Sus scrofa: one gene and its partner. The protein of the gene in region 2 purifies or fractionates together with the protein of the main gene of each other region. This does not show direct contact. Links are inferred from orthologs where the notes say so. Each region holds a gene or a part of one and is shown on either strand. Other genes may lie near its edges. The genes, in order: FBXW11 and ZNF395.

Region 1 (4,368 bases), on a different chromosome or scaffold from region 2:
AATAATAGCTTTTTAATTCTGTGTTCTTCCTATTGCTTTTCTTTCAATTCCCTAAGTAGAAAGCATCGGATAAGGGCCATTAAACTTAAAACTGTATTGAACAGAACTTACACTGTGTCCTGCATGCATACAAATTACTGTAGCAATTCGGTGCTTGGAAATGGAAAGACTTAGAGGTCATCTAGTCCCTTCCCTTTACAGGTGCAGAAAATGCAAAACACTTGAGAAAGAGAACAGTAGCCTTTGACATTTGGCAGCTGGCCTGATACAATCAAACAGGCAGTAATGTTACTAGATGATAGCCTGGTCCTCTTAGCTAGGCCTCGTGTTTTCTTGTTGAACCTAATTTCATAGAACATAAATGTTAGACAAAGCCATTCTATGGCCATGATAGACCAATACAAAAGCGAAACCACTCCTAATTAAATCTGAACACAGATCAAACAGGGACATTGTTCAAACCACAAAAAATGACCAAATAGCCCTTATTCTGGTAATGAGGGACTCCTGCTTCTCTACCAATCAGGACTTCAGCCTCGTCTAGTAGTCCTTCCGTCTAGATAACATTTACTGAGATGCCCAATCATAAAATTACCTCCACTTTCTGACAGCATCTTATCCAGGGTAAAGTCCCACTTTCTTAAACCCTCATCCAAATCACCTGACAACTCCTCCTGAGATGCCCCACAGTTCTTCATGGTGTGTGTTCTCTCTCTCTGCAACCAGCAATAAACCCAACCTGTTAATTCTCAGCGGGCCTTTGTCGTCTTTGGTTTGAGGTTACTGACAGACCTGATAAGGTTTATACCGAGCTGGAGGCAGAATTCACTGGGCATCTCCAGCTGTGTTCCTTCTTATGGTTAATGTCTGTCTTCCCCCTACCAGAATTACGCTGCGTGAGAAGAGAAGCCTTGTCTGTAGGGATCAGAGCTGATTCCCAGGGCCTAGGCTAGTGACGAGCAGAGGCTGGAAGTTTAAAAGATACTTTCTAAACGAATGAATAATAGGTTCTCTTTCACCTCTCAGTTCCTCCCAGTACGTGGTGCACAGAGACCACAAAACTCCTCTTTCTCAACTAAATTTCCAAACCCCTCTTGGGACGCCACTCTTGGGACGCCCATGCTCTCAGAGCCTCCTTCTCTGCCCGAGCTCTCTCGCTCGCTGGCCCCCCTCCGACACTTGAGCCCCAAGACCATCCCTTCCTAGAACCCACCTGTCGCCAACACCTCACCCTGCCACAGAGGCCAGACCAACCGTGCCGTTACTTAGGTGTCGAGCGGGCACTGCAGGCACAGACCGCGCATGTGCGGAAATCGGTCGCGCACGCAGGATCGCTGGCAAGTGAAGAGTTGCCTTGGAGTTTCCGTCCGGGTCCGGGGAGCCTCGGGCTGCCAGGAAGTCAGAAGAAACTAGCCGGAAAGAGAACCCGCGCGCAGGGCTTTCTGGGATATGTAGTAGGCGCGCACCTGAAGCCCCACCTTGAGGAAGCCCGTAATTCTTTAGGTCTGCACGTCTCTCATTCGCAGTCCCGTGCTACTTTCGGCTGAGAATTCAGCTTCGGACGGCTAGGAGAGATTGGTCTGGCGGGGTCTTCTCGTTCCCACAACGCTCTGCGGGACCCGCGGCGCCTGCCGGGAGCTGTAGTCCTCGCTCTGCGTACTGCGTTCGCCGAGGGGGAGGGCGGAGCTGCCGGCGGCCCGGGCGGGCTGGCAGCTAGAGTGGGTGCGATAGCCGCCTCCGCCTCTGCCGCCTCCGCCGTCGCCTCCTCCGCCCGGGCCGTTCGCTGCTGCGCGGGGAGAGCGAGGCGGGGCCGCCAGGGCCGCCATGGAGCCCGACTCGGTGATTGAGGACAAGACCATCGAGCTCATGGTGAGTGCGGCCCGCTGGACCGTCCGTTCTTCCGTCCGTCCGGCCCCGGGCGGGCCTGCCCATCTCAACGTCCGGCGCGAGGCCGGCCCTGGCCCTTCCCCGCTGCCTCGGCCCGAACCTGGGCCCTCCGGCCCGGCGCGCTTTACTCCGGATCCCTCGAGATCTCAGGCCGGACCTGGTCCGGCCCCCTCCATGCCCCTCGGTTTTCCTCCCTCCCTCCCTTCTCTCCTGTCTCTGGGCCCATCCCTGGAACGACCCTCGCTCGCTTGTGCTGTGGCCTTAGCTCACACTCGCTCAAGCATCTCCTTCCTCCCTTAGAAGGGGTTTTCTGTTTTTTCTTTTTCTAATTCTCCGGCCAGGCCTGCATCGCTCTTGCAAGCCCCACTCAGGCCGAGTGAGATGGTGATGGGAGGGGGTACAGAGAAGATCGACCTGGGGTCTCGGCCTCTGCGTCCTAGAAGGGGTCTCTCAGCACCCTCTTCTCAAGCCAGGGCTGTGTGGATGCCGGCATAGGCCCTACAGGGGTGGAGGTGGGGAGCTCTCGGGTTTGAGGCTGTGACCGATAAGGGGCCTCTTTCCTGGGCCCCTGTGGTGTCCGGCTTCTCGGACAAAGGGTTTCCTACCCGGCCGAGAGGGATGTTTGGATAGCGAGGCCCCAGGTACTCTGGATTCCATCTCCCAGGAAAGAGACACTGTAACTTCACGTTTTCCAGAGCCGCTCTGGGAAATTGGGGAGGGGGAAGAGGGCTTGTCCTCATCTGCGCCGCCAGTTCTTTCTTCTAGAAAAGGAGTAGGAGAGAATCCTAGGCCCCTGGGAAATCGATCACTCTTCTGTTAGAAACCTTTGGTACCCAGGCCAGACCCTCTGGCCCCACGAATCCCAACCCCCCCTCCGCCTTGGGACTTGGAGCCTAAGGTTTTTAGAAACAGGGCCACGAGAGAGTGGCTAGTAGAAACGAAGAACTTGCTCTTTGGTGGATGACTTGGTGGAAGAAATAAAATATGATAGCTATTACCTGCCAATTGGAATACTAGGGAAATCAAACTGGGCTCTGGAGAGCTGGGAGGGGAAGCTCTTTGCCTCAGCAAATGGACAGGCCCAGGCTTTCTTCCTGTGGAAATCTTGACAGTTTCTTTGTATCTCTTCTAATACAGTAACAACTTCTACTCTAAGGTTGAGAGGAAAGGTGAAAGAATCTACTTAACACAGCAAAACGTTTTCCTAGCCAGATTTTCTCCAGTGTGAAAATGTTTATTGAGTCAGTGATTCCACTGGGTAGGGTCGGTGACATCAGAGCCACTTCCCCCATTTAATGCTATAAATAATAAATGGTGACATTGAAAGTCTGTTGGATAGCTGCATGGTGTCTGTGGATGATGGTATCTGGGGAGTTGAGGTGCATGTTTTAAAAATGGAAGTACAGTAGCATAAATATGGAGGCAGCTTAATATTTGCTGTCCTTTGCATAATTCACTAGACTTCTTCAGCAGTCTTGAAAACTAGAGGGGAAAAAAAGCTCTGGTAGTTTCTGGGGTGTGTGTGTGCGTGCGCGCACTGGTGTGGTTGCTTTCTAAGGGATACTGTCACCATAAGTTTGATTTTCATTTATTAAGTAATTTATTAAGTAATTTTTCCTTTCAGTAAAGTTTATCAAACTTTTGTAATCAAGCCTTTGATAATCTGCAAATTTTGTAAGGGGTTATTTTAGTAAAATATCTTAACTGGAATTGCATATATAGTATATATGCTTACATGTATGTGTAATACATGTATTTACAACAGGAGTGCTTCATATCGAAAATTGTAACTTGGGGGGAGTTCTCGTCGTGGCGCAGTGGTTAACGAATCCGACTAGGAACCATGAGGTTGCGGGTTCGATCCCTGCCCTTGCTCAGTGGATTAAGGATCCGGCGTTGCCGTGAGCTGTGGTGTAGGTCGCAGACACGGCTCGGATCCAGCATTGCTGTGGCTCTGGCGTAGGCTGGCAGCTACAGCTCCAATTAGACCCCTAGCCTGGGAATCTCCCATATGCCGCGGGAGCGGCCCAAGAAATGGCAAAAAGACAAAAAAAAAAAAAAAAGAAAAAGAAAATTGTAACTTGGTACCTCTTTGAAAGTGTTCAGTGCTCCTTCCATTTACATGCCATTAAAACAATAACTAAAATGTCTTTATTTTGAAGAGAATTAGAAATGAATACAGTGTAATCCATTTAGTGTTTTGAGTGGATGTAGAAAAAAAAAAATCTCTGACCTAAATATACTGGTTTCCTATGCTTATAAATTGAAAAAGTTTTGATTTTACATAATTGTGTCTGTGATCTGAAAAGATATTTCAGCTCTTTCAAGGGCTTTACAAACTGGGATTCTTAAGATAGTTTAACAAAAAAATTTAACAGCTATCTAGATCAATTTTAAAATGCCTTTTCATATATGGATTTTGATACTCCCTCAAAGAGCTACCAGTTAAGACTCTTAGGCAATCCTTTTGATGAACATTTG
Region 2 (4,311 bases):
TTCTTAACAGTACCACTATGGACAATTCAGACCAGGTAATTCTTTGCTTTTTTATTTTATTTTATTATTTTTAAATTTTTTATTACTCAAATGATACCAGGTAATTCTTTGTTGTGTGGGGCTGTTCTGTGCATTGCAGGACATTTTTCTAGCAGCATCATTGGCCTATTCCTATTAGATGTTAGGAGCAACACCACTCCCAGTTGTGACAATCAAAAATGTCTCCAGACATTGCCAAATGTCTCCTGGGGGGTAAAATTCCTACAGGAATTTTGGTTCTGTGTAGCTGTTTTTCTTATGTAACAAATGGTGGTGGTGGGAGGGAAATACTATTTAGTGCTTATTTGGTTTGAGCTAGGCACTATACCTATGTTTTTAATTTCATCTTACAGATAAATCTGAGGTTCAGAAAGAGAAAATAACCTGCTGAAGATCATAAACTAGTTCAGTAGTAAAATCAGGAGACAAACCAGGCTTGTTTGACTGCAAAGCCATCAGTCCTTTCCTGCACACACCCCATGCCTCCCTGCAAGAAAGACAGCATACCTCAAGTCGAAGGTGAACAGACCACAAATGCAACAAGTGTGTCCAAAAGTATTTAAAAACTTTTTTTTTGGGGGGGGAGGGATTTATTTCTTATATCCATTAAATTTATTTGAATATGAATCTACATGCTCACACTCACAGGCACTGGGTCTCCTTACCACCGTTGTAGCTCTGGTCTTATCTCTGAAAAACAAAGTGCGATACAGTGGAACAGCTTCAATTCTTGTTACAAATTACACAAAGCCAGAGCCTAACAGTGCCAAAAGCAACTGGTATTGTTTACCTAAGGGCTGAAAGCTAATAGTTAACTTTCTCTCATGTTAATTCAAGAAACAGTAAATAACGTCTCACTTTACAACTACAAACGAGAGGGACCGAGTAAAATGTCATAAAATGGAGAAGAAAGCATTAAAGCAAAGGCAAATGGAAAGGTTGGTTCCATGGCTCTCTCCCTCTCGCCTTTCGCCGCGCCCCGCGGGTCGGTGCTGCGCGGCCCGGGTCTCGACCGCCCCCGCGCAGCGCCAGTCTGCGGCGCCCGGAGCCTTCGGGCGGCCTTTCCCGCCCTGGGGCGAGCTCGGCCTTTCTCGGAGAAGCGTATCCCAGAGCCCGGCCTGGAAAAAACAACAGCAAGAAACTTTGACTCGGTTGGCGGTTCAGTGGAAACAGGCAAACCCCCAAGTTTGTTTCGGGGCTGCAGCCGCCGGGTCCGATTTGGGGGTGGGGTGGGGGCGTCACCACTGGGTCAGGTTCAAGTGCGCATGTGCGCCAGGAGTCGCTCGGGCACTTATTGAGCGCCCACTGTTTACTAGCGGGCGGGGGTGTGTATGCCGGGCGCGCAGTGGGGTGTGCGTTGGGGGCGGGGTGGGGGTGGGGGCTCGGGCGCGCGGGACCGCCGAGGGGCGCGCAGGCCGCGGGCGCGCGCGGCTCCGGGGGCGGGGGCGGGGGGCGCGGGGGAAGGGCGGTGCGGGGGGGGCGGTGGAGGGCGGCGAGGGGGTGTGTCCCCAGCCTCGCCCGGGTGCTCGCTGGCTGGCGCGCGCCTCCGCTCCCTTCCCGGGCGGGAATCCGGGCCGGGTTGTGGCCGCGGCCGCGTACGTGAGCGCAGTGTCCCGGAGAGGGAGGGCAGGCCGACCAGGTGGGCGCGAACGGAGCCTCGGCGGGCGAGCGGCCGTAGCCGAGCCGGGCGGTGGGCCGCGCCGGGTGGGCGGGCGCCGCGGCAGCCGCAGCGGGTTGCCGAGCCGAGCCGTCCGAGCGGTAGCTGCCCGGCCCGCGCCGCCGCTTGTAGCGGGGCGAGGTAAGCTGCACGGGGACCTCGCGGCGCTGCAGCCCAGGGACGAGGGCGGCCCGGGAACTTCCCACGCTCCACACGCCCTCGGGAGCCGGGCCGGCAGCTGGAGGGCACGGGAGGCGGGCGCCGCCGGGGCAGCGGCGGGTCGGGTCGCGGGGGCGCTGCGGCAGCGGCCGCGCCGGCCGGGTGGGGGTGGCCTCCCCCTCTCCCTCCCATGCGCCGCCTTGTTTATTTCGCCGGCTGCCGGCGCTCGCCTAGTGATCCCCTCCCCAACTTTGAGCGCCGGTCCGGAGTCGCCTCTCTGCCGGAGGGTGACCTGCCCCCTCCCTGACCCTTTCCGGCCGGGCCGCTGGCCCAGTCCTTTCGGCGCCCCGCGCGTTCCTGCCCGCTCCTCGGAGCGGCCCGGCGGGCAAGTGCCGGGCGCCGGGACGCGCGGCGCGACACACCCTCCACCTCGGGGGGCTGGCCCCCACCCTCCGGTTCCCGTCTCCCCACCCTCCACACTTCTGCGCGCCTTCACCCTGCCTCTCTTCTCCGGAGGCCCTGGCCTTCCTCGGCGCTGGCACTGCGGGCATGTGGGGTGCCCGGGTGGGGGCCCGAACGGGGAGTTTGTCATGTGCAAACAATTTCAAAGGCAGTATTTTCTTCCTTGCCTGGGAGTTCAGGGCTCAGCGCTTTCACTTTAGGATGGGCTCAGAAATCCAGAGAAGCCCATCTGTCAGGCGGCGAGGGGGGTGCTGCTGCCCCCTTTATTTCAGGCAGCCTTGGCCAGTGCCCAGTGATTTTAGAGCGCTTCCCCCAGGCAGGAGTTCTCCTGATGCCAGGCGGCCAGGTGCAGCGGTTACCTATAGGACACCAGTCAGTTCTTTACACCCTGTTTTCTAGAAAAGTGTATTTGGTGCATTTTCCCTGAAAGCGAGTGATCAACAGGTATTGAAGGCCTTTTTGACACCCTCCTAAGGTGTTGTGTAAACCGAGGTTCCGGGTCTGAAGGAACTTGAAACACCAGGAAACATAGCAATGAAGTTCAGTTCCACAGATCCTTTTGAGGGGCTTCTGTGTTCTCAGCATCATGCCAGGCTCTTTGCGAGATAATAAGAGGCACTCAAGAAATCTAAGGCCTCAGTAAGCCTACTGACCAGGTGAAAGTGATTTGAGAGCTCAAGTTCAAATTAATGTGCTCTGGCTGCCTTGATGAAGATTAGAGTTGCAGAATGGATTTAAGAGTACTAAGTTATGAAACGTTATGCACATGGAGAATAGCTCTGTAGCAAAGGTCAAAGGCAAGGGAGGGAGAAGTAACAGGTGTGAAAGGTTACAGAGGGATTAGGGGAGGAGAAGAGGTTCAGACAGTTATCTCAGGGAGGATGAGAAAGATACATGAGATGATTCCCTCCAGGGTGTATAATCTCAGGGAGGAGACAGAAAGACTTGGGAAGTAGGACCTCAAGATGGGGCACAATTAACTGTCAAACTGCAAGGTGTAGACTAGGTGCTATTGGAATTCAGAAAAGGGCACTATGAGTAGTAATCACCAGGATTGTGTTCCCAGCAGATGAGACCCTTGAGATGGGCCATGAGGTGCAAATGAACATGACTTTCCTGAGAGACAAGGGGATGTTTCCTGCACAGTAGGAGATAAAAATGGAGAGGAACAATGGTTGAGGTTGTGAATATCCTAGACAGCCAGACGGGAATCGCACTGTACCCTGTGTATACTAGGGAGATAGCAAAGGTTTTTGAGCCAGAGAGTAGTGATGTAATGAAAGGTTTTTAAAAGCAGTGTTAGGTGACAAATCAGTTAGTAGGCTGTTTTAGTTGTGGAGTACCCAGGCCTTGCACTGGGATAACTGGAAATGGAAAAATGGGTGGGTTTTAGAAGCATGACTGTTGAAATAATCTGTTGTCAGGGGCAGGATGAAGGAAGGAGATGAATGGAAATTAATTCTTGGTGGAAATTGATTACACGCCAGGGCCTTGGAGCTGCTGTAGTTAGTAACTCGAGAAATCGGAAATGTGTGTTTTGGAGAGAAGTAATTGACACTCAGGCTGCAGAGAAGTTTCTTGCGTTTGCCAAGACATTCAAACAGAGGTGTCCTGCAAGCAGCCACAACACTGAGATTGGTGGGAAACCAGGTGTGTAAGGTGGGAGAGGCTGCTGTTGCGGGGGAGGGAAGGCATCAGTCATAGGGAGTCAGGCAGGATGCTAGTGAGCGGGGCTGAGGGTCTGAGTTGGAAGGTTCTGTTTGGTCTTGCCATTCACATGACATCACTTGGTCCTGAACCTGAAGTTAACAGAGCAACTCAAGGGAGTTGAGCCTCCAAGGAGGATGGGACACTTCTTCTTATCAGGTGGGTGGGATTGGAGATTGGAGGGAAGTAGGATGGAATTGACTAAACACGTAAATTGTTGGGCTTCCAAATAAGCTGAGTTGTGCTTGCCACCCAGACCTTCAATCTTGCCCTGGTGTCCCTTCGCA

What was found.
Region 1: the proteins of ZNF395 (region 2) and FBXW11 purify together in Homo sapiens (affinity purification with mass spectrometry; 5 studies listed by BioGRID and IntAct, with this or other methods). This does not show direct contact. The link is inferred for Sus scrofa from reciprocal best matches to the Homo sapiens genes ZNF395 and FBXW11.

What each region holds. Positions count from the first base shown.
Region 1 is NC_010458.4:52,210,982-52,215,349, forward strand, and holds the start of FBXW11 (F-box/WD repeat-containing protein 11), read left to right. Parts: upstream 1-1,419; 5' UTR 1,420-1,824; coding exon 1,825-1,869; intron 1,870-4,368.
Region 2 is NC_010456.5:12,181,054-12,185,364, reverse strand, and holds the start of ZNF395 (zinc finger protein 395), read left to right. Parts: upstream 1-1,337; 5' UTR 1,338-1,364; intron 1,365-1,634; exon of another isoform or gene 1,635-1,837; intron 1,838-4,311.